Linked DNA regions of Saccharomyces cerevisiae S288C. Changing the gene in region 4 together with the main gene of any one other region gives a genetic interaction. Each region holds a gene or a part of one and is shown on either strand. Other genes may lie near its edges. The genes, in order: DED1, CWH43, SEC63 and FYV8.

Evidence for each region.
Region 1: mutations in FYV8 (region 4) and DED1 together harm fitness less than expected from each alone (positive genetic interaction), as found in Saccharomyces cerevisiae (2 studies listed by BioGRID).
Region 2: mutations in FYV8 (region 4) and CWH43 together harm fitness more than expected from each alone (negative genetic interaction), as found in Saccharomyces cerevisiae (2 studies listed by BioGRID).
Region 3: mutations in FYV8 (region 4) and SEC63 together harm fitness more than expected from each alone (negative genetic interaction), as found in Saccharomyces cerevisiae (2 studies listed by BioGRID).

Annotation. Positions count from the first base shown.
Region 1 is NC_001147.6:721,154-729,014, reverse strand, and holds DED1 (DEAD-box ATP-dependent RNA helicase DED1), read right to left. Parts: upstream 6,105-7,861; coding exon 4,290-6,104; downstream 1-4,289. Other genes in the region: mRNA-binding ribosome synthesis protein NOC2, read right to left, coding at 1-1,503; GEP3 (Gep3p), read left to right, coding at 1,781-3,451; imidazoleglycerol-phosphate dehydratase HIS3, read right to left, coding at 6,407-7,069; MRM1 (Mrm1p), read left to right, coding at 7,307-7,861. UniProt on the Saccharomyces cerevisiae protein: ATP-binding RNA helicase involved in translation initiation. Remodels RNA in response to ADP and ATP concentrations by facilitating disruption, but also formation of RNA duplexes.
Region 2 is NC_001135.5:142,839-151,713, forward strand, and holds CWH43 (Cwh43p), read right to left. Parts: upstream 4,797-8,875; coding exon 1,935-4,796; downstream 1-1,934. Other genes in the region: RNA-binding ribosome assembly factor RBP95, read left to right, coding at 796-1,668; SRD1 (Srd1p), read right to left, coding at 5,400-6,065.
Region 3 is NC_001147.6:801,340-808,888, reverse strand, and holds SEC63 (protein-transporting protein SEC63), read left to right. Parts: upstream 1-1,865; coding exon 1,866-3,857; downstream 3,858-7,549. Other genes in the region: TRE2 (putative zinc metalloprotease), read left to right, coding at 1-635; OSW1 (Osw1p), read right to left, coding at 782-1,618; peptide alpha-N-acetyltransferase subunit NAT5, read right to left, coding at 3,982-4,512; TMA16 (Tma16p), read right to left, coding at 4,686-5,222; TUM1 (thiosulfate sulfurtransferase), read left to right, coding at 5,425-6,339; cleavage polyadenylation factor subunit CLP1, read left to right, coding at 6,582-7,549. UniProt on the Saccharomyces cerevisiae protein: Acts as a component of the Sec62/63 complex which is involved in SRP-independent post-translational translocation across the endoplasmic reticulum (ER) and functions together with the Sec61 complex and KAR2 in a channel-forming translocon complex.
Region 4 is NC_001139.9:887,270-895,669, reverse strand, and holds FYV8 (Fyv8p), read left to right. Parts: upstream 1-3,483; coding exon 3,484-5,937; downstream 5,938-8,400. Other genes in the region: YPP1 (Ypp1p), read right to left, coding at 1-977; SNG1 (Sng1p), read left to right, coding at 1,530-3,173; exosome non-catalytic core subunit SKI6, read right to left, coding at 6,048-6,788; XKS1 (xylulokinase), read left to right, coding at 7,795-8,400.

The DNA.
Region 1 (7,861 bases), on a different chromosome or scaffold from region 4:
TGATTTAATCAAATAAAATCTTAATGGGAAGAATTGTGGTGTTGGGATTAATCTGATTACACCCAAAGTAACCTGAACCAATGGGTAAATTAATTGTCGTAAAGGAGATTCACTGCCATTTTCCTTTTCTGGTTGACAAGCAAACGATAGTACACGAGACCAGAAATCCAAGGAGTGACAGAATTGCCAGTTGTATACAATCTTGTAAGCTTCTGCGGAATTAATTTTACTGGATTTTTTAGTTGTCGCGTTCATTGTATTTCTTAAATGAATTGCCAATTGCCTAATATACTCAAATCCAACTTGGTAACCTAGAACTTCATCGATACCGAACAATTCAGCTGCCGAATTTTTTTGAAAATTAATCAGTGGCATAGAACGCATATTCGTTTTACGACAACTTTTGATAAAAGTGGAGTACGTTGTTTTTAAGGTTGTTTCTAGCATAGACTTCTTGAACTCTTTGGTGGTATTGATCAAAAAGGCAAAAGAAGCAATCTGGGTTTCTAATTCTCTCGTTGTAGACCATACTCCAACAATTGATTTAATAAGCTCCTTTAAGATCCTTCTGTATGATAAAAGATAAGGCATCAATTCGTTGACAGAATGAAGAACTAATGCTGCTGTTTCCGTATTAGTAATATCATTCAATAAAATCAACAAAGAGCCAGCATGCGACTTGACAATGGACGAGACCCTGGAGACGTTACCTCCATTTGGTAAGGTCCTTGCGCCTTTTACAATCTTGTATGGGGCCATCTTTTGAATCGCTTGTGGTACATCTTTCAAGACCATGAACATCAATTCGTGGAATGCTTTCTCATCAGTGATAGCATATTTATAGTCTTCGATGTTTTCTTCCTTGTTCAAATTTACAGCAACCTTGAAAGCACTGATTATGTTCCTTAGTAATTTTAAGCTTGGAGAATCATGAAGTTGTTTTTTCCATTTCCTAACCAATTTCAAAGAAAGCTCAATTTTTTCCTTTTCCAGCTCCATTTGTTCAGATTTTTCTTCAATATTACTGTTTCTTTCAGCATCTTCACCTTCATCTTGACTATCAATTCCATCCAATGGATTGGTACCTGCGAAGTCCAATAAATCTTTATCATTTTCCTCCAAATACTTATAAAATTCGGGATCCTTTTCGGCCAACTTTGCCATGCTTTGTCCCATGTCTTCCTCCTCTTCGGAAGAGGAGGAATCTTCATCAGATTGCTCTTTCGTAGTTTTTTTCTTCAATTTTTTATTCTCTTTTGGAATTTCGATGCCCTTTTCAAAAAAAGTTTCGACAGACATGTCCTTAAAAACCTCTTCCTTTGCAGATTTTTTCAACTGCTGTTGTTCCCTAGTACCAGCAGCATCGGCCTTTTCCTGATCAGTTTTGTTGCCACGACGGCCTTGGATTCTCTTCTTTTGGATCTTTTCCTTTCTTCTTTGGTCTAGAGTATGCTTCAAATGCTTCGATTGAAACTTCTTGGTCGATTTAGAAACTTTACCCATCTCCACTTATTCTATTGTTGACCTTCTCTATCTCTCTTACAATTCAAAAATTAGTATAAATGAATTTACCCATGTACAAGTATTCTGTTTCTCTATTTTCTCTGTAAATATCATGCTCATCTCATCGGAAGAAAAAATTCAGAAAATTTTTCAAAACTCGTCGAAGATGATAACTACTATTTGATGTTATGGGTCAAGATACATTTAACAGAGCAATATTAACGAAGGACCTTCCTAGTAACACGTCTAATTACTTTGAACAATTCAATATGCGGGAATGTTGAATCTGTGTCATGCTCTTCGAGGCGTACGTCAGTTTTCCTGTTCTGTGATTGTGAAAGTGAAATGTGCGTCATGTTCCATAAAACTACAGGATCAGGATCCTAGTAAACCAGGATATTATACGAAGCCAAAAAGTCTACCCGACTCAAAACTAAATCCTGACCTCCAAGATCTGAAGTATTTGCTATTCAGTCAAGACATACAGCTCTCGAAACAGGCAACTCAAAATGATCCTGACCTCAAAACCAAAAGAGATTTACTATTGAGAGTGATTTGCAAAAGGTGCAGTAATGCCCTTCATCATAACAATTATAACCCGGAAGAGTTTCCCGAAAGCACATTAAATGATATTCTGAACTACGTCCCCAGAGGCTCAAATGTTATGCATATTGTCCCCTTTGTAGAATTTCCCTTACATTTAGACCCCAATGTTTTGAAACGAAATGATTTAGATACTACATTAGTGTTAACGAAAAGCGATCAAGTTTTTAAAGATAAAAATGCTGTCAGCAAAAAGGTTCCTATATTCATGAAGCAATTTTTAAAGAACACTTTAAGAATTGACTCAAATAAAACATTCGCCATATCTGCGCTGAAAAACTGGAACATATCCATGTTTTACAACTACTTTAAAAACTACACATATTTGCTAGGCAACCCTAATGTTGGTAAATCAACTTTGATCAATACTCTACTACAGAAATATCTTGGATATAAGGTTAAAATTGATTCTACTGGGAAAATTAACTCCCCCTCTGAAGAAGTGATGCAAGAAGCTTTTACGAACCCGAAGAATTTTTTCAAGATTCAAGCTGCTGGTGTATCACATATTCCCAATTTAACTAGATCCGTACAAGCCTACCAAGTTGGAGGTAAAATACTTTTTGATCTTCCAGGCTATTCAACTTCCACCTCCAGATTACGCCTAGAAGAACTAATCGACGAGCGTTGGCTTCAAAGGCTGCGAAAAACCGATTTATTCAATCGGAAGCATATAAAACAGAAGACTTATGAGTCTATGAAGGGCACATCACAGGGAGGCTGTTATACCGTGGGAGGGATTTTCTACCTGGTACCTCCGAAAGGATCCATAAATCAGATTGTGAAATACATACCAGGACCATCAAAAACATTCAAGAACATTGAAAAAGGTATTGATGTATTCAACTCGTGCAATTCATCATCTGGCACACATCCGTTATCACGGTATTGTGGAATTAAAAGCGTTATATGCGAAAAAAGCCAGTACAAAAGGTACGCAATACCTCCATTTATTGGAAGTATAGAGATCGTTCTGAAAGATATAGGATATATTTTATTAAGGACAACTGGGAGGTATGAGTTCAAAGGACTACATGAGATATGGATACCTAGGGGTATCCAAGTAGGTATAAGGGAACCGCTAGAAAACTTGATTGAGTCTGGCTACCAGCGTTACATTGAAACAAATGGTAAAGAGTCAAGCTGTCCCAGAGATAGACCGATCATCAGTTCCCTGTATGAGATGGCCCCGGATGAAGCTGATACTTTGAACGCAGTGAAGAAGTCGTATTTAGAAAAAACCGAGAAAGATTTATCTGCTAGAAGATTTGTCGACGATGATCCTTATGATTTGGTTCAACACCTAGAAAAAAAAAAGAATCCCTATTGGTACTACCAATGGTAAGACTCGCTGTTCACTTGGTTGCACCAATAAGTAGTAACGCACATGTAAATATGAATGTAAGTAAACTAAAAAGAAAGTTGGGAACAAAGTATATTCAAAAACGAATATACAGGAAATAAGCAATAGAAAGTATTATGAATTATACTGTTGATGTTTATTCTATCTACAAAACACAAATAAAGTAGAGTATAAGGCGAGTCAATAAAAAGGCCTCAACTCAAAAAAGGGAGAGAAAATGTAGGAAGGAAATGAATACTATTATACAATGGTACTGTGAACAGTAAGAATATTTTCGTAAGGTAAAAAGAAACAATAACAAACAAAAAAGGTCGAAAAAACTGTTCAAAATAAAGTCTCTATTCGAAGAAAACTGAAAAAGTGGAAGTGGAAATAAAAGATAATGTAAATAATCAGTCCAATGAATAGATCGGTTAAAGCAATTAAGCAAAAATAGTGGAAAATATAGTAAAAGTAGATAATAATTCCTTCATCTTTTCACTAAAAGATGAAAATCTTAATTGCTTATAATCATAGTGAAATCTTTAGTTTTTTAGTTAATATTAGCAAAGGCATTTTATAGTACAATTGTAAAATAATATTAGAACCATGAAAGAAAAAAAAAACAAAAAAACGATGGATAAAAAATAAGAGTGGAAAAAAAGTAACAGATTAGTGGCTCCCAGTGAGAAAATAAAAAAAATATGGGGCCAATCAACGGCTAGAGAGAAACAAACAACACAGTATTTTCAGGACTTGGATAAAAAAAGTGATTGGAGAAAGAAAATATAAGACATGCTAGAGCAGAAAACGAAGAATCCTCACCCTAGTTTGTCTGAAATCACCACCAAGAAGAGTTGTTTGAACCACCGCTGTTACCCCAGCCAGAAGACTTGGAATCGCTACCCCAGCCACTACCGCCTCTGAAAGAGTTATCTCTGCTTCTTGAAGAGCCCCAGCCGCCTGCGCTAGCGCCTCCGGCCTTACGGTAATCTCTGTTGTTGTTGCGACCGAAACCGCCTCTACGGCTGTTGCTTCTGCTACCTGGAGCACTCATCATAGCGTCCTTCAAGAATGATGGGACTTCTTGGTTAGCTTCAGTCAAAATTTCATGCAAACCTTTAACAATGTTACTGTTTTCACTGTTGAAAAAGGCAGTGGCAAGACCGGTGTTACCGGCACGACCAGTTCTACCAATTCTATGGACGTAATCATCGACATCACTTGGTAAATCGTAGTTGATAACGTGGGTGACGTTTGGAATATCTAGACCTCTAGCTGCGACAGCTGTGGCAACCAATAAAGTAGCGGCACCAGATCTGAAGGCGGCCAAGGCACGTTCTCTCTCAGATTGGGTACGGTCACCATGAATGGCGGTAGCTCTAAAGTTTTGCATGATCAGGAAATCGGTCAATTGATCTGCCATTCTCTTAGTTTCGACAAAGATCAAAGTCAAACCGTCAGTGGATGCAGACAATAGATCCAATAAGGCTGACTTCTTATCTTGATTTTCAACGTATAAGACTTTTTGAGTAATGTTTTCTGAAGTAGAACCGACTCTACCAACAGACAAAAAGATGTAGTCACTTAAGAAATCACGGGCCAAATGTTGGATATCAGCGGGAAAAGTAGCTGAGAACATCAGAGTTTGTCTTTCACCAACAGGAGTCATATCACAGTCTTCGACAATATGTCTAATTTGAGGTTCGAAACCCATATCCAACATTCTATCAGCTTCATCTAGAACCAAATACTTGACGTTGGCCAAAGAAATTTTACCACGTTCCAACAAGTCATTCAAACGACCTGGAGTAGCGACTAAAAGATCGCAACCACGTTCAATTTCTCTTAGTTGGTTACCAATTGGAGAACCACCGTAGACGACGCAGGCCTTGACCCAGGATCTATAAGTAAATTTCTTGGCTTCATCGAAAATTTGGGTGGCCAACTCTCTAGTTGGAGCCATAATGACAGCAGTTGGGTAGGCCTTTCTTTGGTAAAAGGAGCCTTGAGACTCTGGTTGAGGAGATGGTCCAGTCTTAAATGATTCGGACAACACTGGGAATAAAAACCCACCAGTCTTACCAGAACCGGTCTGCGCACAGGCCATCAAATCTCTGCCGTTGGCAACGATAGGGACGGAGTATTTTTGCACAGGTGTTGGCTTGGTGAAACGGGCCAATTTGATGTTTTCCAATAACAATCCGTCCAATGGAGGTGAGGTAAATTCTGTGATTGGTTCAGGAACATCCTTACCAGAGGCGTCCACTGGAATATCATCGTAGTTATCGAAGTTAATACCAGAAGATTGGAAATTTGGATCCTCGGGGACACCAAATATGGCGATCTCGGCCTTTTCGTTTCTTGGAGCTGGGACATGTTTGCCATCGATCCATCTACCACCAGAACGGCCGTTAGATCTGCTGCCACCGTTGTTTCCACCGAAGAAACCACCGTTGCCGTAACCACCACGACGGTTGTTGCTAAAGAAGCTGCCACCGCCACGGCCACCGTTGTAGCCGCCGTTGTTGTTATTGTAGTTGCTACTGTTATTTCTGGCACTTCTTGGTTTTCCTCTTAAGTGAGGAGGAACATAACCATTCTCGTTGTTGTCGTTGATGCTTAAATTTTGCACTTGTTCGCTCAGTTCAGCCATAATATGAAATGCTTTTCTTGTTGTTCTTACGGAATACCACTTGCCACCTATCACCACAACTAACTTTTTCCCGTTCCTCCATCTCTTTTATATTTTTTTTCTCGAGTTCAAGAGAAAAAAAAAGAAAAAGCAAAAAGAAAAAAGGAAAGCGCGCCTCGTTCAGAATGACACGTATAGAATGATGCATTACCTTGTCATCTTCAGTATCATACTGTTCGTATACATACTTACTGACATTCATAGGTATACATATATACACATGTATATATATCGTATGCTGCAGCTTTAAATAATCGGTGTCACTACATAAGAACACCTTTGGTGGAGGGAACATCGTTGGTACCATTGGGCGAGGTGGCTTCTCTTATGGCAACCGCAAGAGCCTTGAACGCACTCTCACTACGGTGATGATCATTCTTGCCTCGCAGACAATCAACGTGGAGGGTAATTCTGCTAGCCTCTGCAAAGCTTTCAAGAAAATGCGGGATCATCTCGCAAGAGAGATCTCCTACTTTCTCCCTTTGCAAACCAAGTTCGACAACTGCGTACGGCCTGTTCGAAAGATCTACCACCGCTCTGGAAAGTGCCTCATCCAAAGGCGCAAATCCTGATCCAAACCTTTTTACTCCACGCACGGCCCCTAGGGCCTCTTTAAAAGCTTGACCGAGAGCAATCCCGCAGTCTTCAGTGGTGTGATGGTCGTCTATGTGTAAGTCACCAATGCACTCAACGATTAGCGACCAGCCGGAATGCTTGGCCAGAGCATGTATCATATGGTCCAGAAACCCTATACCTGTGTGGACGTTAATCACTTGCGATTGTGTGGCCTGTTCTGCTACTGCTTCTGCCTCTTTTTCTGGGAAGATCGAGTGCTCTATCGCTAGGGGACCACCCTTTAAAGAGATCGCAATCTGAATCTTGGTTTCATTTGTAATACGCTTTACTAGGGCTTTCTGCTCTGTCATCTTTGCCTTCGTTTATCTTGCCTGCTCATTTTTTAGTATATTCTTCGAAGAAATCACATTACTTTATATAATGTATAATTCATTATGTGATAATGCCAATCGCTAAGAAAAAAAAAGAGTCATCCGCTAGGTGGAAAAAAAAAAATGAAAATCATTACCGAGGCATAAAAAAATATAGAGTGTACTAGAGGAGGCCAAGAGTAATAGAAAAAGAAAATTGCGGGAAAGGACTGTGTTATGACTTCCCTGACTAATGCCGTGTTCAAACGATACCTGGCAGTGACTCCTAGCGCTCACCAAGCTCTTAAAACGAGAATTAAGAAAAAGTCGTCATCTTTCGATAAGTTTTTCCCACAGCAAAGCAATAGTAGAAAAAAACAATGGGAAACGTTGAATGAAGACAAAGCGTCGTGGTTTAAAAGGAAATACGCTCACGTACATGCTAGGGAACAGGACCGTGCAGCGGATCCATATGGCAAGAAAAAGGCCCACGTCGAGAAGCTAAAGGAGATCAAGAATCAGGCGAAATTAAACCAAAAGAGCCATAAATCCAAGTTCCAGAATAAGGACATTGCTCTGAAACTTATGAATGATAATCCTATCTTCGAATATGTCTACGGCACCAACAGCGTTTATGCAGCGTTGCTGAACCCGAGTAGAAATTGCCATTCTCGGTTGCTGTACCATGGCACTATTCCTAGTAAATTTCTTCAGATAGTCGATGAACTGAAGGTTACGACAGAGCTGGTGGACAAGCACAGATTAAACTTGTTGACCAATTACGGGGTGCAC
Region 2 (8,875 bases), on a different chromosome or scaffold from region 4:
CTTCAAGGATAGAGGAATCCTCAAAATGGAATCCATATTTCTACATACTAATATTACGATTATCCCTTCTTCTATTTTATATGTTTCATTATCCTATTACATTATCAATCCTTGCACTTCAGCTTCCTCTAACTTCGATGACAGCTTCTCATAACTTATGTCATCATCTTAACACCGTATATGATAATATATTGATAATATAACTATTAGTTGATAGACGATAGTGGATTTCTATTCCAACAAGAACATCCTTGAAAGGTCGACTATTAACATAAGAATAAGAGAGAGTGTGTGGCCGATGCTGTTGCTATAGCTCGGTCGTAGTTTAACACCACGGCATTATTCAGCTTTAAAACAATTGAATTATAAACCTGCTTTTCTTACTACGAAAAGTGTTTCCCTTTAATAAATCTATTGTACATACTTTACAGTTGATAGTACCTTCACCATAAAAATATGCAAACGCTTTTGTTATTGGGAACAGGAATACCAACCGTTCTCATGGAAAATAGCAAAGTGTAAAAGAATTTATTATCATCGAGTGATAAAGAATATCGCCAGATCTTTACGGATATATATCGCTAAAAATATTTGTCGCCAATAAAAGATATGTCTAACGCTCCCTTTGCAGGTAGTTTTTTACTGGCATCGCCTTTTTACTGCAAATTATTGAAAATTTTCGAGCGAGAAAAAGGAACGAAAAGAGATGAGCTAAATTCAAATATCAAAGTACTGTCATAAGTGCTTTCTTTATCGACAAATTACAAGCAGAAGAAACATTCACTTCACAATTAAATGTCCGAAAATCACGTTCCTGCCTGGAAAAGAATTGCTTTGAAGAGACAGACTATAAGCAGTGGTGACGAAAGTAAAGAAAAAGGCCAATCCAATCTAATAGATGATGATCCACTAAATATCACTACGCATTTATCCACTGGTAATTTGACAAAGAAAGAGAAAAAAAGAATCATTAATGGTGAGAGCAAATCCTCTACCAAAAAAGGGAAGCGTGTGTCGAAACCAGGGACGAAGAAGAAGGAAAAATTGTCAAAGGATGAAAAGAATTCGAAAAAAAATAAAATTCTTAAAGATCAATTACGTTACCTGATAGAATTTTTCAGGACAAAGTCTGAGAGCAAGTTTCCCACCGGAATCCTAGAATTGGAAAGTGTAAAAGAAAATTACGGCGACTCCCTGATCAAAGACGAGCCATCAGAGTCTGGTGTTGTTGAAGTTTGGAAATTTTCCAAGCAAAAGCAAAATTGGCTTATTAAGCATTTTTTCAACTTGGACGAAATCCCCTCAGTATATAATGATCTTTTGCTTTTATATTTCAGGGACTTACAAGGTAAATCAAAAGAAGAACTAATATCAAAATGCAAAGGAAAACTGAAGCAATGGAACGACTATGTGGAAGATCAAGAAACAAAAATAAAAGCGTTAATTGCAGAGGATAAGGCTAGCGAACCAATTAATGGTGAAGAAAAAGAAGAAGGTGAAAAAGACGGTAATGCCGAACAAGGGAAGCAAAAAGAGGTACAAGACGAGCAAGAGGAAGTACAAATGCCGAATAAAGAGCTTGTTCAAAGAAGTCTGAAATTACTAGAAATTTGGAAGAATGATGACTCGGAGCAGATAGAACTTAAGAATTTCTTCGTTGATGTTTAACATAGAGTTCAACAACGTTGTTCAGTTGTAGTATATATTTTACTGTGAAATACGCTCAAAAAGTAGCGGGATAAATCGTTTCAGGAAGTATAATTTCTTACAAAACTATAACAAGATCGTCTAAGTAACATACATAAAGAAATCACATAAATTTTTAAAATTCGAGGTCAAAAAAATCAGGTGGATACATAACTTACCTTAAGTTATCAAGATTTTCAGTACACACAATGTGATTACACTGATTTATAAAACCACCTTACGGCCTCTTATAAGTAATAACGTGGCTCATCAAAAACATGGTAGAAGTGACCCCTCTCACCTTCGCCTAAAAACTTATCTGGAAATTTCATGTCCTCATATTCCGGTTCACTCATATGACCGTATTCATACATAGAATCCGAGTGCTCTACTAACGCTTGCTCACTCAAAACTTGGAACTTACCAACTTGTAGCTCCGTATCGGTTATCGTTCCTCTTGCAACTCTAGCATATCCTGTTCTTCTCAAGCCCCTATACAAGATATACTCACACCATCTATCATCGTCAGAAGGATCAATGTCGTGCATTCCGGATGTTTCACTAACGTACGTATTGTAGTTGCCTTCACCTGGATCAACAACTAAGTAACTTAATAAAATAGCTGGGCGAGTCGTATTGCCCATGAGCTTAGCCATGTAGTTACTTTGCAGTCTTCTATCCTCTTCATCCTCTTCTTGTCCACTATGGAATACAAAGACGTCAACGAGAGTGTCATTGTACGTTTGAAGTGTGGCATGAATGGCTGGCGCAAGTTCCCCAACTGGAGAGGGCAATAAATGATGCGTAGAATTTACGATAGGGAATTTAGAAAGAAGAACACAGCCCCAGGTATGTTTATTTGGACCTGGTCCGAAATCTGCATACATATTCAAATCATGAGCTAGTTTGCTAGTTAGATCCCTGTTCCCCATGGTAATTCTTTGTGTATCTGTTTCTAGTAGACCTACCACATCTAGTTCCATATCTTTAATAAGGTTGATCATTCTGTCTTCAGATGCCCACATATCATTATCGAGACCAAAGTGGATAGTCCAAATACCAGCTGTAATCAACTGAGAATCTGGATGATAAGGCTGAGGAATTCCTGTAGGTCTAATATCATACACGAACCTAGCTGTTAGTGATAGCAGGGCCACGGCAAAGAAGAAAACATAAATGAAGAATTTTTTGCCCATAGTCACCAGTTGAATGTTAAGGTTTTTGCATGTTAAAGCACCAATAATGATAAATGTGGAAGAAAAGGCAAGAACCGTCTCAATCTTCTCCCTCAGTACCCAGCCCATTGGAACAAATGCGTATGCAACGACCCAAACATGGGCAAGGACAAAGATAATATAAACGGAGAATGATAGGACATAAACCCATATGTTTTGAACTTGGCCTAATGCAGAAAAATACGAAGGAACTAACCAAAGCATAGCGATAGCGTACAATAAACCACCGAAAATATATTTAGGCCATTGTGTAATGCTTCTAGCTGAAAGTACAGCAGTGGATATGAGAAGCAACAAACATGGAACTAATGGCTTGCCCATAAACTTCACAGAACTCAAAGAAGCAAATAACATGACCGTACAAGTTAAGGCGCCCCAAGGCCATGGCAAGGGACCGTGTGATTCATTGTAACCTTCCCATGCCCAATAAATAGTAGTAGAAGAATCCGTCAATAACTGATGAATTCCGAATAACAACGAGCCAAAACCAACAGCCAAAAATAATTTGCCAATCAACGAAGCAGATTTTGCTTGAGCATTCCTTTTCCCTTCGAAATTAATTGAATTAACATAAGGCGACAGCATGCCGAATAAAACAGTAAGCACGAGAGCTGTCTTATTATACCCACCATTACGTTCATCTAAAATGACCCAAGTTGGATTGTTGGTATAGAACCCCATTTTCAAGATCACAGATGCAACAAGACCTAACAGCCAAGTTAGAGCAAAAGAGAAACTAGTCTCCGCATTTGTGATATATCTTAGATTTTGTACAAACGTTGCAACGGTAATGGAAGTTCCCACAGCTACAGAAATCAACCTTAATTCTGGCATCTGAACAATATAGGCACCAATGGCAATAATACCTCCTAAAAGTACACCATATTGCGTGAAGGCTTCAGAAACGAACGGCAGATATAAGAAAATGGGTCCCAAATAACCCAATATTGCAGCTTCATAACCTGAGATTCCCATATACCATAGCGGGAAATGCCAAATACTACATAACAGGGACGTAACGTTCGACCAGAAAAGAAAACCGTTAAAAATATTTGTTAGTAAGTAAAAAAAAGAGTCAAACCTGAAATATGAACCAGTTGCGCTTCTAGCAACGGGTTTTTCCTTTTCAACCTTCTTTTCACCACTTTTCTGCAATTCTGAACTTTTTTCTTCTCCATAATTTATGGGACTAGAGTCTCTAATTTGGAAAAAACTGGTATTACCGGGTTTCTCATTAAAAGCGAGAACAATATCTATCTTTTTGAAATCAGCGTAAGCAAATGCATCAAATGCAATATCTAAAAGAATCAGAGACCATTCGAAATAAGCATATATAGAATATGCCCCAGCTCTCTGTTGGACGGAGTGCTGAATGTACCAGTAAATCATCGGGAACAATGTTCCAAAAAAAATTGTAGCAGTCAACCCTTTGTTCTTCGAAGTTAAAGGACTAGAATAGCGGGTAATCATTATATCCCATGGTAACGTTAAAACAATGTATGTGATCATAAATATATCATGAATATCGTGGTCATCTGTACTTGTAATGTATACCCAACCACCGCAAGAGACTGTCCGGAGTACACCGACAAGGAAGCATACCTTAGATTGGTTCAAGTAGTAGTGACCTAGTAGCAGTAAAAATCTTGGAAAAGCAGTTAGAGCTATTAAGATTTGGAAAATAGAACGTTCCGGATAGCGGTCCCCGATAGTGGCTGATACACTAGGAAACCACTCATCTGGATACGTATAATGTGCATTGGTTACAATTTTATGAAAATGTAATGAATAACCAGTGACCAAAGCTGCAAAGAAGGCGGAGAATGCACAAATAGTATGAGCTATAGGGATGATCTTCCCATTGATGATCAGCATAACTGGCGGTGGATACCTTCTGTATTCCTGGTTACTTATTCCTCGAGAAATCGGACATTAAAAGGGTGCAAATACTGTGGAGAAATTATAAGTTACCAAGTCAAAAAGCGAATGAGAATCTATTGTTGCGATTTTTTTGGTTACTACTTCTTACCCGAACTAACTTTACATAATAAAAAAGCATGAAGCGCATATTCAGGGACTCAAAAATCCCAAACTGGCACTTCTGTATATACCGATGAGCATACTTTGATTGTAAAAAACAACATTAAAAAGAACTGCAAACCTGAACCAAGAATACTTAATTTCAAAACCGAGAAATGAGGTACAACTTGTAGAAGTTCACTTAAACTTATTGAGCATACAATCTCAACAAAACTAACTGCAAAGTTTGTTGCTATAGTCATATAGTAATACTAGCAGGAAGCCATTAATCAAAAAGAAACTCCATATAAAACGTAATAAATATTATGAATAATAGTACAATATAAGAACAAAGACGAAGAAAATACATTATAACTGAAGTGCCAATATTAGAAAAAAAAAAGGTGGAATATCCTAGTGGAAAAATATCATCTATGCGGTGAAAGAATTAAATAGATACTATGGATTGTTTCGATCTATCCTTTTATCTGCTGCTTGCCTTTTTTTTTCATTCTCCTTCTTCAGTCTTTTTCCATAGGCGAGTCCACAGGGACTACAAAGTTCCCTGTTTTGGTCGGGTCCACTACGCCATTGAATTGTCCAAGTGTCTTTACATTTAGAGCATTCCTTTATCTCACCATTTGGGAGGATTGTTTGTCTCTTTTCTCTTTTAGGACGACTAGTAGTCTTTTTGCTGTATTTCTTCGTAATACTGGCAGACCGACTAGTTCCTTGTGCACAACTATGGTAGCCTTCAAGATTGTTTGCTTCTTGGCTAGTCGTACGTCTCTCGGAATTGCATGCACTAGTTACACGATTCTTTGAGGGTGTAATTTCGTTCAAAGAGCTGGTTTTGTTCTTAACAATATTTCTTGTAAGATCTCTTAGTTGTTCGGCATTCTCAATTTTTTTTTCAACATCAACAGCCCTTATTTGAGAAAAGGATACTTCAATAAATGAGCAACTTGCATAAACTCTTCCGCGTTCCTTATATGCCTTCTTTTTATCGTTTGACTTCCAGTCATCAATTTCTCTATTTAATAATAACGTTTTCTCCATATCTGACTTTTTAACTACTCTAGTTAAGAAGGAACTTCCAGAGTTGTCATAATTATTATATCGCATACTAGCAATAGTAAATGTCTGGTTATTTACCTAGCAACCTCTTAACAAAGCGATAACAATGAAACAGCAATATAAGTCTATTTAATTGACAACATCATTGATAAAAGTTTGAACAAGCGTCTAAAAGTCGAAGAAGTTCATTTCAAAGTTTTGTGTATCGAGCTTGATGATACTTATTTAGGGATCCGCTCTAGTTTACTGTGATACAACTGAAAAACATTACAAAGCTATCGCGCCTGCATTCTCATATTAGTGGCGTATGTTTGTGTCACATTCGATACTTCTACATAATACAATGACTGAACCCTTACCGCTGGCACAGGAATACCGCGCCGCGAAAGCAGGGTCTAGGAGAAACAATAGAATTCTTGGCGATGAGAGAGGGGAAGGCTTTAATAAAAAAAAATAGCGCTTATCCGATTCTGTTGGAATAAGTGGCTATCAATATTTACATGTTGATATGGTAGTAAGGATATAAATGCTTATATTGAATATTTGGAATAAGCATCAACTATCACTTATTGAAAAGGACTCGAACAAAAAAATATGAAATGTCGAAAGCCACATCACTGAGAAGTTGTTGGATTGAAGCTCTAAAATGTCATCTTTTAGTAGTATTCGTGTTACTAGTATATTATCACATGCGGTGTAAAAAGATGACGTAAAGATTGAGAAACAGTCATCAACTGTTATGGAAGCTGAAATGCAAATATTGATAATGTAATAGGATAATGAAACGTATAAAATGAAAAAGAATAATAAAATATTATTATGTAGAAATACCGATTCCATTTTGAGAATTCCTATATCCTTGAGAAGAACTTCTAGTATATTCTGTATACATAATATTACTGCCTTTATCAACAATGGAATGCCAAAAATTATCAAAATATCACCCAATATTCAATTTTATTGTTGTGAAGACATCAAGCCCTAGATATATATCATAGTAGGATAAAATAGTAGAATAAAACTATTCATATATCTACGTGAAAGCATCAGAGATTGTAATGTTGAGCGCCGTGGCGCAGTGGAAGCGCGCAGGGCTCATAACCCTGATGTCCTCGGATCGAAACCGAGCGGCGCTATTAAATTTTTTGAACTGTCCATTAATAATAATGGAACTGACGTCGTCAATTACCGGTAGCTTTTTTGCCCACATTTTTAATCATCTTTTAAGTATTTGAGTATTTGTTGTTCACTAGAGTTTTACTAATTAAGGTTCTGAGAAAATAAAGATATGCATTTAGAAAAGTCGGTTCTACACCGCAAATTTCTTTATTACAGAAACATTTTATACAAAGAGGATACATAGTTATTGGAAAGAAAATCAATTATCTTTTTGTTGGGTAGTATGAATATTACTTGTACATTATCATATACAATATAAAAAGATGTCATAGAGTTGTGAAATATTTATTATATTTAATAAAAGCTGAAGCGCAATGATTGAAAACGTTTTAGGATGATTAATGATAAAGTACAAAATGAGGAGAAGAAATAATAATAACATAAAGTGGAAATACCGGTTATCTTTTAAGGATATTATAACCTGGAGGAAAACTTCCTGGGTTCTCTGTATATTCAACACTTTTCCGTTATCAAAAATAGAATCCCAACAGTATCCCCATTTTCGTCAATATCTCCATAACGACAAGGTCTTCTAGATACCATATAATGACAATAACCAAGCCCACCATTTAGGTGGATTTTTTGTGTGGTTTTGAAATTAAAACATTTTTAGAGGAAAATTGTGATCACAGAATTTCACATTCCCAGTTACTTTAATAATATTCATAGTTAGAGATGAAGAGGTACTATTAATATGAAGGTTAAGTATGAATCTTCTCATGCTTCTATAAGCGAGGGATATAAAACATCGCCAACTGTTTCATCTTATTTATTATCAATATTATGTGTGTTTGGAGCTTACTATACAGTTAATGTGATAATTAATATAACTCTTGTATAACTACCATATCAATGTTCAATTAATAGATCTTAAATCGGTTTCATTACTACCTGAACTGCATGTATGAAATTTCCTTCCACATTAGGCACATTCACATGTAATACGAGATGTACATCTATATGTGATATTAGCATTTACACAGCAATCCTATATCACTATTAATGGCCACTTGTTCCAAAAAGTATATATTATGAAGCGTATTATTATTTTATACTCAGATAGCTGGTGCGATACGTTCGCAGATTTTGAGCGCAATGCAATGAGTATGACGGAAAGGTTCACTCATAATTTCAATAACTCAAGTTGTTTGAATTTAAAATACATTCCCCGTTAGATAAGCTATAAACATTGTTACTTGCGCTTGCGGCACATGTAATGTAGTTTCTTTCTTTTTCCAAGAAAAAAGAAAGCCCTGTAGGGGGCTCGAACCCCTAACCTTATGATTAAGAGTCATACGCGCTACCGATTGCGCCAACAAGGCTCTTTAATTATGAAAAATTACGTTTAATAAGTGACTTAAAAATATAAATACTGTTACTAAAATGTGAACTAAAACCTCAATATTATTTTCTGATCACTTGATGAATAGCTGGTAATTGTTGGATTCCATTGTTGGTAAAGGCTATAATTTTACGTATATAGAATTGTTGGAATAAAAATCCACTATCGTCTATCAACTATAGTTATATTATCAATATATTATCATATACGGTGTTAAGATGATGACATAAGTTATGAGAAGCTGTCATCGAAGTTAGAGGAAGCTGAAGTGCAAGGATTGATAATGTAATAGGATAATGAAACATATAAAACGGAATGAGGAATAATCGTAATATTA
Region 3 (7,549 bases), on a different chromosome or scaffold from region 4:
CTGAAACATCTGAGGATAAATTTGAACGTGTTGAGAAGATTCTGGAAGACGAACAGAACCAACAATCTGTCAAGGATTTGCTAGTATATCTTTTACATATTAGTATGGAATTGATTGATGACCCGCTACTTCATTTTGACATAATAAGCTATGTTGAAGATATCGATGAAAGATTGCAAAGGTTAGAGCAAGCATACCCTGAAAAACTAAACTTCACATCAATAATCAAAGGTTTGTTATTTTGGAAGAAAATCGGTAGCGAATGGGCGTCATGGACTCAAGGTTGGGAGAACATAGTATGGTCGCATGGGGATGGTATAGAGCCCTCCTTACTTTCAATTAATAGGTGGACATGGAATAAAAAATTGACTAATATTGGTAGAAGAACATGCTCTCCGGCGGGTCTACCTAATAGATCATTTTATAAGAACGTTTTGTTCGGACCAACATTGATACAGGAGGATAAATCTAAAAATGGTGGAAATGTAGATTTCTGGACATTTCCAGGAGTGATGGATGCGATTTACGATGATGACTGGAAGAGGGCTCAAGAACAAATTGACCTTATTGGCAAAGTACTCCATCAGTCTGCTGCATTGTTTGTCGAAGAGACTAATGACATCGGGTATAAATAAATTGAACTGAAAGAATACATATTGTAAGTATAAGGAAGTATGTTAATAAAATTTTTTCTTTAATTATGTAATACATGGCATGCAAGCATTTCTTCTTTTTGGGATGCTTTTCCTCTTAGTATCCTATGTTTGTATATATCTTTTTGTTAAATGACACGAGAGAAGGAGACAATAGGATAATTTTGAAATTTCTGTATCACAATCGTATCTAGTTTCTTCTCTACACCTTTGTTTTGACGCGATGTTTCCTCTTCAAAAAGCTTCCCAAGCAACTTAGATTTTCCAATCTCCTGATTATTTCGTTTTTCTTTAGAAGATTTTTTAGAATGCCTGTGCAAAGAGTGATAATCTTTAACTCTCAGGGAATGGTCGTCACAAAATCTGATATATACCGAAGAGACTTCTTCTTCTACATCCTCTTCAAGAACACTAGGCCTAGTCTGCATCTTATTACTCCTACCCCCTAATTTGTCACTTCTTATAGTATTTTTATCGTGAAATATTATTTTAACATCAGCATGGTTTGCTGTGACTTTCTTGATCTTTCTAACGGTTTCTGCGCACTGTTGGTGTTCAACTTTGTGGATGCTTCCGTCTTTTCTCTTTAAATTATTGCCAAAAATTTCATTGTGATAGAACCTTAGGGCATATTTTCTTTTGCTTAATTTTAAACGAGACAAATTGTTCCTTTGCAGTACATATACCCTTGGTGATTCTTGGCAACCCTTGGGAAACCTTGCAATCAGTAGTGGTTTCTTTTTGGAACTTCCTGGACATAGTCCAGACGGTTCATTTATCATGTCCTCAATGTGTATTTCGGAGAGGGGGCTCAAGTTCCAGCGAGTATTATATTGGTGAATGTGAAGTTTGTGGACATGCCACCTCCTCTTTAATTTCCGGCCACTGAACAGTTGACACAGTCGAAAATATAGGTAAAAAAAATGACCAGATTTGGACTTTCTCGGTGAAGGTGGTGCTCTCATGCTTCTTTTCTATTTTGAGTTATTAACGTCTTAGCTTTATAATGTCACAATCTGACTTCATTACTGACACAATCGCTCTTATAACGCGAATTGGTCACTCGTTACGGAAAGGCGTTTTCTGAAAAATTTGTCTTGAACACGTCGAAGATCACTGAACGAATAAAAGATGCGACTGGAACAATAGTCAGTTATAATTGACCAAAGAAGGCCTTCGCAACAAAATAAATATACTGCATATTACAGCACAATGCCTACAAATTACGAGTATGATGAGGCTAGTGAGACGTGGCCGTCCTTCATTTTAACGGGGCTCTTGATGGTCGTCGGGCCTATGACACTGCTTCAAATATACCAAATTTTTTTTGGGGCCAATGCTGAAGATGGGAATTCAGGGAAGAGTAAGGAGTTTAATGAGGAAGTTTTCAAGAACTTGAATGAAGAATACACCAGTGATGAAATCAAACAATTTAGAAGGAAGTTTGATAAAAATAGTAATAAGAAGTCCAAAATATGGAGCAGGAGAAATATTATAATTATTGTGGGTTGGATCTTAGTTGCAATTCTTCTGCAAAGGATTAATAGTAATGACGCGATTAAAGACGCTGCTACAAAATTATTTGATCCTTATGAAATCCTTGGTATCTCTACTAGTGCTTCCGATAGAGACATCAAATCTGCTTATAGAAAATTATCTGTTAAATTTCATCCAGATAAATTAGCAAAGGGCCTAACACCTGATGAGAAAAGTGTGATGGAAGAAACTTATGTTCAGATTACGAAGGCTTACGAATCCCTTACTGACGAATTGGTTAGGCAAAACTATTTGAAATACGGTCATCCAGATGGCCCACAATCTACTTCACATGGTATCGCTCTACCAAGATTTTTGGTAGATGGAAGTGCATCTCCATTATTAGTGGTTTGTTATGTTGCGCTACTAGGTTTAATCTTGCCATATTTTGTTAGTAGATGGTGGGCAAGAACACAATCGTATACTAAGAAGGGAATACATAATGTGACGGCTTCTAATTTTGTTAGTAACTTAGTCAATTACAAGCCATCTGAGATTGTCACCACAGATTTGATCTTACACTGGTTATCATTTGCTCATGAATTTAAACAATTCTTCCCGGATTTGCAACCAACGGATTTTGAAAAACTTTTGCAAGATCATATTAACCGCAGAGATAGTGGTAAACTTAACAATGCGAAATTTAGAATAGTGGCCAAATGTCACTCTTTGTTACACGGTTTATTGGATATTGCTTGTGGATTCAGAAATTTAGATATTGCATTGGGTGCAATCAATACTTTCAAGTGTATTGTTCAGGCTGTACCATTAACACCAAACTGTCAAATCCTTCAATTGCCGAACGTAGATAAAGAGCACTTTATTACCAAAACCGGAGATATTCATACATTAGGTAAATTGTTTACTTTAGAAGATGCCAAGATTGGTGAGGTTCTTGGAATAAAGGATCAAGCAAAGTTAAACGAAACTTTGAGAGTTGCATCGCATATTCCAAATCTAAAGATCATCAAGGCAGACTTCCTTGTCCCAGGTGAGAACCAAGTAACACCATCATCTACCCCATACATTTCTTTGAAAGTACTGGTTCGTTCTGCTAAACAGCCATTGATACCAACTAGCTTAATTCCTGAAGAAAATTTAACAGAACCTCAAGATTTTGAATCTCAAAGAGATCCATTTGCTATGATGAGTAAACAGCCACTCGTCCCATATTCCTTTGCACCATTTTTCCCTACAAAGAGACGTGGGAGTTGGTGCTGTCTGGTAAGTTCTCAAAAAGATGGTAAAATACTTCAAACGCCAATTATCATTGAAAAGCTATCTTACAAGAACTTGAACGATGACAAAGATTTCTTTGATAAGAGGATAAAAATGGATTTAACCAAACACGAAAAATTCGATATAAATGATTGGGAAATCGGGACCATAAAAATTCCATTAGGTCAGCCTGCACCTGAAACTGTTGGTGATTTCTTTTTTAGAGTAATCGTTAAATCCACAGATTATTTCACTACAGATTTGGATATTACCATGAATATGAAAGTTCGTGATTCTCCTGCAGTGGAACAAGTAGAGGTGTATTCTGAGGAGGATGATGAGTACTCTACTGATGACGACGAAACCGAAAGTGATGATGAAAGTGATGCTAGCGATTATACTGATATCGATACGGATACAGAAGCTGAAGATGATGAATCACCAGAATAGATATAAGTGATTAGTATAGTTTTTCATTTTAGCTCTTAGACGTATATATTTCATCTTTATAAAAATAGATACATGTGTATACAAAGCAAAACCAAAAAAAAAAAAAAAATTTTTCAGCCATCTGTTAAGAAATGTGTTTTTTCAATAAGATAGCATCTTGTTCGTCGCCATTTACACCTTTTATGAAATTGTTGACAGTTTCGCCCACTTGTTCGAAGCCATGAGCTATAAACCATTGCTTTGTAAGATCATCCACTGCTGGTAAATAGACAAACACGTTATGTTGATGACATTCTGAGCATTTGTCTTCTGCAAACTTCAGTAATTTTGAACCGATGGATTTGTGCCTATAATTAGGCAACACGCCCAAAAATTCGATTTGAATGCCCTTGAGAGATAGTTCGTTTTGTTTTTTAGGAACTAATTTAGCAACCAAACCACCCACTGGTATTTCACTGTAATAAGCCATCTGTGTGAAATGTACATCCTTCTTCGAAGATGGCTTTTTATTTTTTGCAACTAAGCTATCCTCAGCGAATAATGCACTGAAGAAGGCATCTTGATATAAGTTTGGTACTGTCACATGAGCTAGTTTGGTTAGCATGCCCAAATTGTTAGCGTAAACATTGTCTAATGTGCATATATCACGGCCCATATTTCGCACTACTCCCTTCAATTGTCTTTGCCAATTTGTTTGTTACGGATTAATTTGTGAAAAAGCTTCGCTAATAATATCAATTTTCTTTTTTTTCTTTGCTTTTTCTACTATAATATACATAAAATTATATAAAGAGCATATAAACCATAAAGATTCCTCTGCGACACTTCTTATTCATTTCCTCCAACGACTTGTTCACCTTTATCATTAATTCTGATCAATCTTAGAGTATTCAAAAGGCCAAAAGTGCCATTCCAGTTTCTTAGAAATTCCATATTCTTCGCATCACTCAAGTCTGGACAGAGAAACCCCGCCTTAAATTCTTTTAACTCTTGATCCCTCCTTTGTTGCAGTAGCACTTGTCTATTGCTTGGTGGCCTGTTTGACCTCCTCTTCTTCTTGAGTTCGTCTAATTCCGTATCATCTCTTTCAATAAAACTTTGAATAAACTCTCTTGTGTGGGCGTGATCAAATATTGGTTGCCCTTTGAATGTATCAGAGTTAACTACATCCTGCATAAATTTTACCCGAGCTAGTTCGTGGACTCTTTTGTCTTGATGAAGCTTCTTTTTGGCTGCGATTTTATCTTCACGCATAGTAGCCCTGACCAGCTTTTCATACTTTCTACCCTTCGGATGAACCGTGATATTTTTCCCTTTCTTGGATAAGTTCTTTTGCAACTTAGATAAAGATTTAGTAACCGGCATGATTAGTTTGTCGTGGTAAGTCCTGTTCCGATACTTTTCTTCTTAGAAAGTACCTTTAAAGAGCTCATCTCTCATCTCGTCTATTAAACCATTTTAAAATTTTCGCTCGGGATGTTCAGCTGTGTACAATAATACAGCGTAAGTGCATTCAAACAATGAGGACAAAAGCATAAAGTTGTGAAGAAAATTGCCCATACATTCAATGCCATTATTTGATCTTATTTCTCCAAAAGCGTTTGTTAAGTTAGTGGCCAGTGAGAAGGTTCATAGAATCGTTCCAGTTGATGCAACATGGTACCTACCCAGTTGGAAGCTTGATAATAAAGTGGATTTCTTGACCAAACCACGTATACCAAACTCCATTTTCTTTGATATTGATGCAATCAGTGACAAAAAATCGCCCTATCCACATATGTTCCCTACAAAGAAGGTTTTTGACGACGCTATGAGTAATTTAGGAGTTCAAAAAGATGATATATTAGTGGTTTACGATCGTGTTGGTAACTTTAGCTCCCCTAGATGTGCTTGGACATTAGGAGTGATGGGACATCCTAAGGTGTACTTACTAAATAATTTCAACCAGTACAGAGAGTTTAAGTACCCTCTAGATTCCTCTAAGGTGGCAGCGTTTTCACCCTATCCAAAGAGTCATTATGAGTCCTCAGAAAGTTTCCAAGACAAGGAGATTGTAGACTATGAGGAAATGTTCCAATTGGTAAAGAGTGGGGAACTGGCTAAGAAATTCAATGCTTTCGATGCAAGGTCGCTCGGTAGATTCGAAGGTACAGAACCAGAGCCTCGTTCCGACATTCCATCGGGGCATATTCCAGGTACCCAACCATTACCATATGGAAGTTTACTTGATCCGGAGACCAAAACGTACCCAGAAGCTGGGGAGGCGATACACGCTACTTTGGAAAAGGCATTGAAAGACTTTCATTGCACTTTGGACCCAAGTAAACCAACTATTTGCTCTTGTGGAACTGGCGTTTCAGGAGTCATTATCAAGACAGCATTGGAGCTAGCAGGAGTTCCCAATGTTAGATTATATGATGGATCCTGGACCGAGTGGGTCTTGAAATCCGGGCCCGAGTGGATTGCTGAAAACAGAGATTAATAAGAGAAATATATTCTTGACAAGTCGATTTATTTAGCTACATATATTAATTATCTATCTACTTACTTAAAGGGCGATCTCCCTTTCTTTGTCTTATTTGTGCTCTTCATTGTTATTGCCCGGTAAAATAGAAAATAACAGCAAAAAATAAGACTGCTGGCAAAAATGAGCAGAGACCTTTCTATCGAGGGAAAAGAACAAACTATTAATTCTTTTCGAAATTCCAACACGATTAAACCATCATGGCAAGTCTACCTGGTATTGATGAGCATACTACCTCTGAAGAATTGATAACTGGTGATAACGAATGGCACAAGTTGGTTATTCCCAAGGGCAGTGATTGGCAAATTGATCTTAAAGCAGAGGGAAAACTGATAGTCAAGGTAAACTCGGGCATAGTTGAGATATTTGGCACCGAGTTGGCAGTAGATGATGAGTACACTTTTCAGAACTGGAAGTTTCCCATATACGCTGTCGAAGAAACAGAATTATTATGGAAATGTCCTGATTTAACTACGAATACAATAACTGTCAAGCCTAACCATACTATGAAATATATTTATAATCTACACTTCATGTTGGAGAAGATACGAATGTCTAACTTTGAAGGCCCTCGAGTGGTGATTGTTGGTGGTTCGCAAACCGGGAAGACTTCCCTATCGAGGACACTATGTTCTTACGCTTTGAAATTCAACGCTTACCAACCACTATACATCAATCTTGACCCTCAACAGCCCATTTTTACTGTTCCTGGATGCATATCTGCCACCCCAATATCAGATATACTTGATGCACAACTACCCACTTGGGGTCAGAGTCTCACTAGTGGTGCCACACTACTACATAATAAGCAGCCAATGGTGAAAAATTTTGGCCTGGAAAGGATTAATGAGAACAAAGATCTATACCTTGAGTGTATAAGCCAGTTAGGTCAAGTAGTAGGTCAAAGGTTACATTTGGATCCTCAAGTCAGGAGATCAGGGTGCATTGTCGATACGCCATCAATATCACAACTGGATGAAAATTTGGCTGAACTGCACCATATCATTGAGAAACTCAATGTTAACATTATGCTAGTACTATGTTCTGAAACGGATCCTCTTTGGGAGAAAGTAAAAAAGACATTTGGTCCAGAATTGGGAAATAATAATATTTTTTTCATTCCTAAATTGGATGGTGTATCCGCAGTTGATGATGTATACAAAAGATC
Region 4 (8,400 bases):
TCGTCATTACTGTTATCGCTTAGGTTTTGGAAAAGAAACATTGCTGTTTTCGAAACTTCAATACTTTGAAAAGTCTTTTCCATTGAAGATATTATGAAATTATACCAACTGGGATTCACTTTTATTTTTTTTATGTGAGTGAATTTGAAATAATACTGCAAAAAGACATTAAAATGCTCCAAAGCTTCATCATTTGTCTCACTAGCAGTAGGAAATTTGGCCTTCAACAAAACGTTCTGTCCGAACTTCAAATAAAGATCATCATTATCAATGTGCTTTTTGAGAGGTGACTGGAACTTCTTTATCATGTAAAGGAAAAGAATAAAAGGATTTTCGACGGTAGTTTTAAAATTTTCTGCTAAATCCTGAATTTGATTGAACCTGAGTTTTGCGACGATCAAGCTGATGTATTCGAAAAGAAGACCGTTTGATTCGGGAGGGATCGTATCCACGTGGGCCAGTAGTTCTTTGTAAAAAACATTTTGCATGATATTTATGTCTTGCGAAACTAGACCACGGTAGTACAGGTTTTCTACGATCAAATACCTATCATACTGCTCCATAAGTGCTGTTTTTTGCGATGCAGTGTTATTATGAATTTTCAACGAGTGCAGCAAGCACCGCTGCGATTCCTGAAATTGGCCCCTGTGGAAGAAAAGAATACCGAGGCAATTGAACAGAATTTTCTCCACTAGTTTTGTAATCTCCGGATAGTCATTCAACTCCTCCATCATACTCATATTCTTTTCTAAATTTTGACTTTCCTTCAGTAAAACATCACAAACTGGTTTTGCAGGCCCATTCGATCCAATAACATGGTAATGTAGTCTAAACTGTAAGTTAAGTACGGAATCTAAACTATCAAACCCTGAATTGAAGGTGCTGCCACCTAAGAGTCGCGCTCTTAGCGCTTGGTCGACCACATCTATTATCTTCGATGGAACAGTAGGAGGAATCCGAACATTTGAGTTAGGCATTGGGCAAGTTGGTATTGAACTTCTTTCCAGCTGGCGTGTTCAACTTGTTCCTTCCAGTATGCCACACATTATGCCTTGCACACCTAAAGCACATATTTTCGTTATTTTTCACCACAATAGGTGGATCTCGAAAAGGATGGAAAATCAGGAAAAAGAAATGTTGAGAAAAAAATAAACCGATTCCCGTTTAGTTTTCTCCTATTTCCGTGTATATGCGTGGTTATTCGTTTTCGAATCCTTTTATGAATGTCCGAGGAGGTGGTACAATCCGAAATAGACTAAAGAAAAGCGAAAGCCGTGAGTTTGTTTGATGATAGATGACTCGCAGCTTTGTCATCAACGGGCCACCCTATTCGAAGAAGGGAATGGAAAACGGACTGGCGTAGTCAATAAGCGTCTTCATATCTTAGCATTGTTGAGAGATACATAGTGTACTCCATATCGTTCTTTTTTTTTGTATATATCAAGCCACATATCCTGTTTCTTTAATCTTTTATACGCCGTAAGAATCGGGTACTGACATAAGTGTAAGTAGCCGTACAGAGAACAAATATGACTAAATCGGTTGGTGATGAAGAGTCACAGTACATTGAGGACCCTAGTTTTGCAGCAGCAGCTGCATTTACTGGCGGCAGGGACGGGGTTTCGTACAGTAATCAGCGATTTGCTGAGGGTTCCGGCCATTCTTCTGACTTAGCAAAGTCATTAGAAGACTATCGGCCTCCTGATGAAAAGCCGTCCTCATTGTCATCTGTGGGGGAAGGTGGCGCTAATGAGGAAGAGAAGGGCGGTAACGACGGCGGTCCCTTGGCAAGAATTCAAACAGGGCTTTTTTCTCCAAGACTGCGAAATCATAGGAAAAAGATTCTCTCGAAGTTTGTTTTGAACAACTTCTTCATTGCTTGTGTGTGTGTATCGCTCATATCGATTTACTGGGGTGCCTGTTACGGAACAGATCGTTACTTTTTCAAAGTGAAAAATATTGTTGTATTGCAGGATGCGCCATCTAATACTTCAGTTCAATCTATTTCCGCGATCATACCCTCATTGTTAGCGTCTGTCCCCGGGACATGGCATATATACAACGCAACATCATTTCATAGGAAATTTGGTACGACGAACTCCACCGAAATTGACAGAAAGATAGTCGATTTAATTTACGATGAGAGATACTGGCTGGCGTTAAACGTTAAACCTAATGCTACAGACACTTTGTATAATTCTTTGATTAGCCAAGACGCAAACTCGGAGTTCAATTCATCAATTTTTTTTGAATCCGTGTTTGAAAGTGGTCGTGACCCATCGAGTGTTAAATCGACCATTCTACCACTCATGCAACAATTGGAGGTCCGCCTTCAGAAATATTACGTCAAGGAATATCTTCCCTCATTGATGAGCAACATCACTTCTAATGACAGAGATCTTAATATAAACATGGAGAACTGGGCGATTGCAGGACAGTTGTTGTTCACCTACAACGATTATCGTCCCTTTGCTGATCGTATTCTAATGGCCCCTCTGCAGGTCGGTCTGATTTATTGTATTTTGTTAACCGTTTTACAACTGTCATTATATGGTAAGTTGCACGGAGAAATGGCCAGAGTTCTGAAGCCAAAGCATATTTTAATCTACAGGCTTCTAATTTCCTGGGCAACTTATTTTCTTCTTTCCATTGGATTCTGTACCGTATCTGCAATTTTTAGGATCGATTTCACCCCCGCCTTTGGCAGAGGAGGATTCGTAGTATATTGGATGTCTACGTGGTTGGTAATGATGGCTGTTGGTGGTGCCAATGAAAACGTTCTCAGCTTAGTTATAGCTTACTGCCCTCCATACCTGAGTATTTGGTTGATGACGTGGATCATATTAAATATTTCTGCTTCATTCTACCCAATGGTTTTGAACAACGAATTTTACAGGTACGGCTACATAATGCCAATCCATAATGCCGTGGATATCTATAAAGTGATTTTTTTGAATTTAACCAAAAGAAAAATGGGAAGAAATTACGGTATTCTCGTGGCATGGGTTGCCCTCAATACATCCTTGATGCCATTTTGTATGAAGTTTGCAGGTAAAAAAATGCAAAAAAATGCTATGCAAGCAGCAGAAGCCGCTGTCGCAGCAGCTACCCAGCGTGCTAGCCGCCCGGCAGAGGCCAATACTGATAAAAATAACAACCCGCCCGGAAATTAATGGGTAGGGTTAATAGCTTATTCATATATACACTTAATACGATTAAAAATTATTTATATTCTCATCATCATAAGATGAAGATGCAAATATCACAACAATTATATAACGTCGTTTGTTTGTTTGGTGACACATTAGTGTTTCATTCCGGGTAGCTATTTTGTTTTTCTCATGCCAAGAATTCTGTAAGGCACTTAAAAGTATTCCTAAATACCACTTTCATACATGGTTAACAAGGTAAACACAAAACTTGCATTATAGTTAAAAGGGACTGTTTGATCATTACCCTTTTTCTGGAAAGCGGATATTTATTATGAGCACTGAACAGGTCGGTAGAAAGAAATCGTATAGATGGGTTAGCGCATCTCAAGCAAGTTATGACGGCGCTGGATGGGACAGTAGTGACGAATATGACTACTCTTCCGAGGATGGCACAAAAGGTTCAGAAATTCACAAGCAAAAAATATCTAATTTGCCTAGTTTACCCAAGCTCAATTATACAGATGTTAATGGTGAGCATGATGAAAATACGGGTGAAAATAAAGACAGCAATGATAATAACGTCAGTAAGAGTGATATTAGTCCTAGTGACAAGGAAGTAGGCTATCTCTCAGATGGGGTGCCTAAACTTATGGCTTCAAGAGAGTCTGTGGAATTACAAGCGAAAAAATCCAGCGAGCACTCCAAATCAGATTATCTTTCGTCGACAGCATCTTTGAAAAGTCCAAGTGAAAACAAAAAATCACCACATACAAATAGGGCTGTAAACGAAGACCTAGACAATTTGATAGAGCAAATATCAAGGGAGATGACACCAGAAATTAGGCAAACATCTGATTTTCGGCGTGATTCAGACAGTTGTGACGAAATCCAAAACGAAGCACCATTAGGGGAAGCGGTACCCTCTTCATCATCTCCTGTAGAAGAAGATGAAAAATCACATTCCTTAGGGGTTTCAATGGATACTAATGAAGCTGATACCACTTTCAATACGCCAACAAGGAATGGAAATGAACATTTGAGTAGTGATGGCGATGTTTCTGAGCAGAAAGACGACGAGTTTAAAGTTTCCGAAAGAGGCTACCTTGCAGATATTCTGCCTGCGGAGAAAGAGGAGAATTTACAACAAGAAGATGATGGTGAAGTCGAGAGCTCAGGAGCTTTGGAAAAGAAAGAAAAAAGTGAAGAAAAGACTAGTATTAGGAATAGGAACTCTACATCTAGTGGGCAAGATAAAGTAGCAAAGCCGAAACCCGTAGCAAATGAAACAAAAACTAGTGATAATGGATATCGAAATTCTTTTTTCAATGATTATCAGCATTCGTCAGACTCTGAAGAAGATGATAACAACGAAGGCAACAGTGGTAGTAGTGATGATGATAATCGATCTTCGGTTAGTGATAAACATGCTGATATTAACCGGCAATCGAAACAACTTGATACAACTGACGATGATGCATTGTCGTATACCGAATCAATAAAATATTCGACAAATGAGACAGAAGAAGAAGATAATGAAGATAATGAATCCATAGAAGACAAAAACGAAGATAATGAATCCATAGAAGACGAAAATGAAGATACAGATAGCTATAAATTTTCTAATAGGGAAAAAGGTTCCATTCTACTTACGAGTGATGAAGAGGAGGAGGAAAAAGGTATGAGCTCTGATTCAGATGAAGGCAGTCTCAAGGCGCCCAAATCAGGTTATTTCTCCAAAATGATTGGTAATGATGATAAAGGTGATTCAGCATTGCAACCTAATCAAATAGACACCATTGAAAATACCAATTTGTCAAATAGCGGTTCTGAATTGGAAAACAGCGATGGCAGCGATGAGGAAGACCACATAAATGAAGACAAAGTTTTGGAAGAAAGTTCAGTTAAAGACTCCACTGATGTTGATTCTTGGAAGCCGGACAGTGAGGCCTTACGATCAGGGTTCGTACAGGATACAGCCAATAAGAAAGCGCCACCAGGTTACGTGATCGATTCTAACGGGAAGCTAGTAGATTTAACACCTGCTAGTATGAAACCACGTGTTGTATCGACTTATTCAGAGATGGAGAGTACTTGGGATGCATTCCCTTCCAAAGGCGAAGATGACGATTTGGAGACAATCAGGGACACTAAGACTATATACGACAACAATACGATTTATAATGTTCCCGGTTTGATTGGTAACCAATCGAATTTGCCACCTCTACCGATGGACGCACAGGAACAATTAAATGCAGGAAACGATAATAGTACAACAGATAATGATAATAGTAACAATACTGCCAATGATTTGGCAGCGCGCAGTGCATCTTTCAAAAGTGAAAACAGAACAGTATCTCAAGGCGAAATGACAAGCGTCCATGAACCCAGTACTGAAGAAATGGCGAAATTGGGGCAGCAGAATAACTTACCGAAATTAGATATGAATAAACTACTGAACAGTAAGACTTCGCACGCCGGTAAGATAGAACAGTTGAGAAATTATAAGCGTGAGCTAGATGAATATGATACGGGGATACAAACATGGATAAATTATACGCTAAAATCATCCTCTAATAAGGATAAGGATTTCATAGCTGAGGAGTATAAGCAGCATAGTCACGTTAGGGAAGCATATGCGAACGCGGACGATTTGAGTAAGAAGCATACTGTCATTAACACGGTTGCTAGTGTCAACCAAAATGTAACGCACTTAAGGAGAAAAGTTTTCCAGCATTCTATGAAACCAAAGGATTTATTCGCATCAATAGGTAAGAAAAAACTGTAAGCGTTTTGCTTTACGGTAGAAACACGAAAATGTAAATGCGTTCAATTTTCAATTTTACTGTTTTTTATGTACTTTTATATAAACAGTGGCAATTAATGGCGTTTTTTATTCTACCTAGCAGAGGCGTTACTGACTCTTTTCTGAGCATGTTTCCTCAGTTCTTCATCCATCAAATCTCTTACCCTATGAGCACCTGCGATGCCGATGGCAAGAACGTTCTCTAACCTATCTAACGGAATTTTGTCTTCCACCAATAAAAGAGAAAGTTTTTCTGACTTCCCTACCACACCTAGTGTCACTGTACTCATAGCATTTTCTTCTAATGAATTGGTATCTAATAATGGGGTAGTATCGTACAGCCCGACGGATATACCACTTATGTAATCGAACATTGATATACCGGCATCTATTAAAGCGAGGGTAATACCGTTGATTAAAGATCCCATAATACCGCCATCTTGCTCAAGGACATGGATCTCGATATCGATAACTGTTCTGGGGTAGATATTCAGCATGACATTCTTCTCAAACATCCTCACCAGGGAGGTTTGTATCTCAAGAACACGCCTTTCATTCTTGTGGCTTGATTTACTTCTTTCGAATTTGGAGAATTTTGTAATGTTTACCGATACGTTCAATAAAGCCTTTGAGGTATCCATTTGAGATTTCAATCTTGGCTCTTTTGGACCTTTAACAAGAGTGATAATTTTGTTGTTACCTTGTTCCATGTAGGATGAACCGTCTGCAGCGTGCGGATGTGTGTTGATGGAACTTTCAAAACGGCGGAGTTCATTCCATCGACGTCCATCGAGACGTAGCCCTTCTGGCGAGTATATTTCTAGTCTTGACATATGATGATCCTGCTGTAGTTATGGCACTAAAGTTTTTTTGTAAATCTTTTTATATGTTAATAGATTTTACCAGTGGGACCCTGGAAAGAAAATATGTGTAAATGATGTTTTCTTTTGGATGATGTTCATTGCACAATGGTTCGCAATGTCATTCATTCATCCATTTCTTCTAGCTTTTCAATTATTAATGCCTTAAAATTTTTCAATTTCACCGCGTTACCCGAAGATGTAAATGTACCTACTCAAATAAAAGGTTCCTTGCTGGTTGGCTTTCGTAGCTAAATTGAGTGCACGTTACAAGATTATAAATGCGTTTATATATATATATTCCAGTGAATGATCTACTTTTGCTTAAGCGGCAGAATTGCAAATCTTAATTTTTCTTTTTTGTTTATGTTTTATTTCCTTGTGACAAATAAAATTTTTTTCTCTTCTGAATTTTTAAAACTAAAGAACAAAATATTAAAATAAACAAACAATTCTCCACTTTTTCTTCTTTTGGTATAGAAACTGATAGAAATGTCCTAGACCCTTAATAAGCAAAACACTCATCATTATAACGGGAAAAAATTTGAAGCAAGCTCAAAAGAGATATATATATCATCCAGCATAGACTACTATTAATTTCTATCATAATTGCAATAAAAAAGGAAATATTTAGGGGATCAAGACCATTATTCCATCAGAATGGAAAAAAGTTTAAAAGATCACGGAGATTTTGTTCTTCTGAGCTTCTGCTGTCCTTGAAAACAAATTATTCCGCTGGCCGCCCCAAACAAAAACAACCCCGATTTAATAACATTGTCACAGTATTAGAAATTTTCTTTTTACAAATTACCATTTCCAGCTTACTACTTCCTATAATCCTCAATCTTCAGCAAGCGACGCAGGGAATAGCCGCTGAGGTGCATAACTGTCACTTTTCAATTCGGCCAATGCAATCTCAGGCGGACGAATAAGGGGGCCCTCTCGAGAAAAACAAAAGGAGGATGAGATTAGTACTTTAATGTTGTGTTCAGTAATTCAGAGACAGACAAGAGAGGTTTCCAACACAATGTCTTTAGACTCATACTATCTTGGGTTTGATCTTTCGACCCAACAACTGAAATGTCTCGCCATTAACCAGGACCTAAAAATTGTCCATTCAGAAACAGTGGAATTTGAAAAGGATCTTCCGCATTATCACACAAAGAAGGGTGTCTATATACACGGCGACACTATCGAATGTCCCGTAGCCATGTGGTTAGAGGCTCTAGATCTGGTTCTCTCGAAATATCGCGAGGCTAAATTTCCATTGAACAAAGTTATGGCCGTCTCAGGGTCCTGCCAGCAGCACGGGTCTGTCTACTGGTCCTCCCAAGCCGAATCTCTGTTAGAGCAATTGAATAAGAAACCGGAAAAAGATTTATTGCACTACGTGAGCTCTGTAGCATTTGCAAGGCAAACCGCCCCCAATTGGCAAGACCACAGTACTGCAAAGCAATGTCAAGAGTTTGAAGAGTGCATAGGTGGGCCTGAAAAAATGGCTCAATTAACAGGGTCCAGAGCCCATTTTAGATTTACTGGTCCTCAAATTCTGAAAATTGCACAATTAGAACCAGAAGCTTACGAA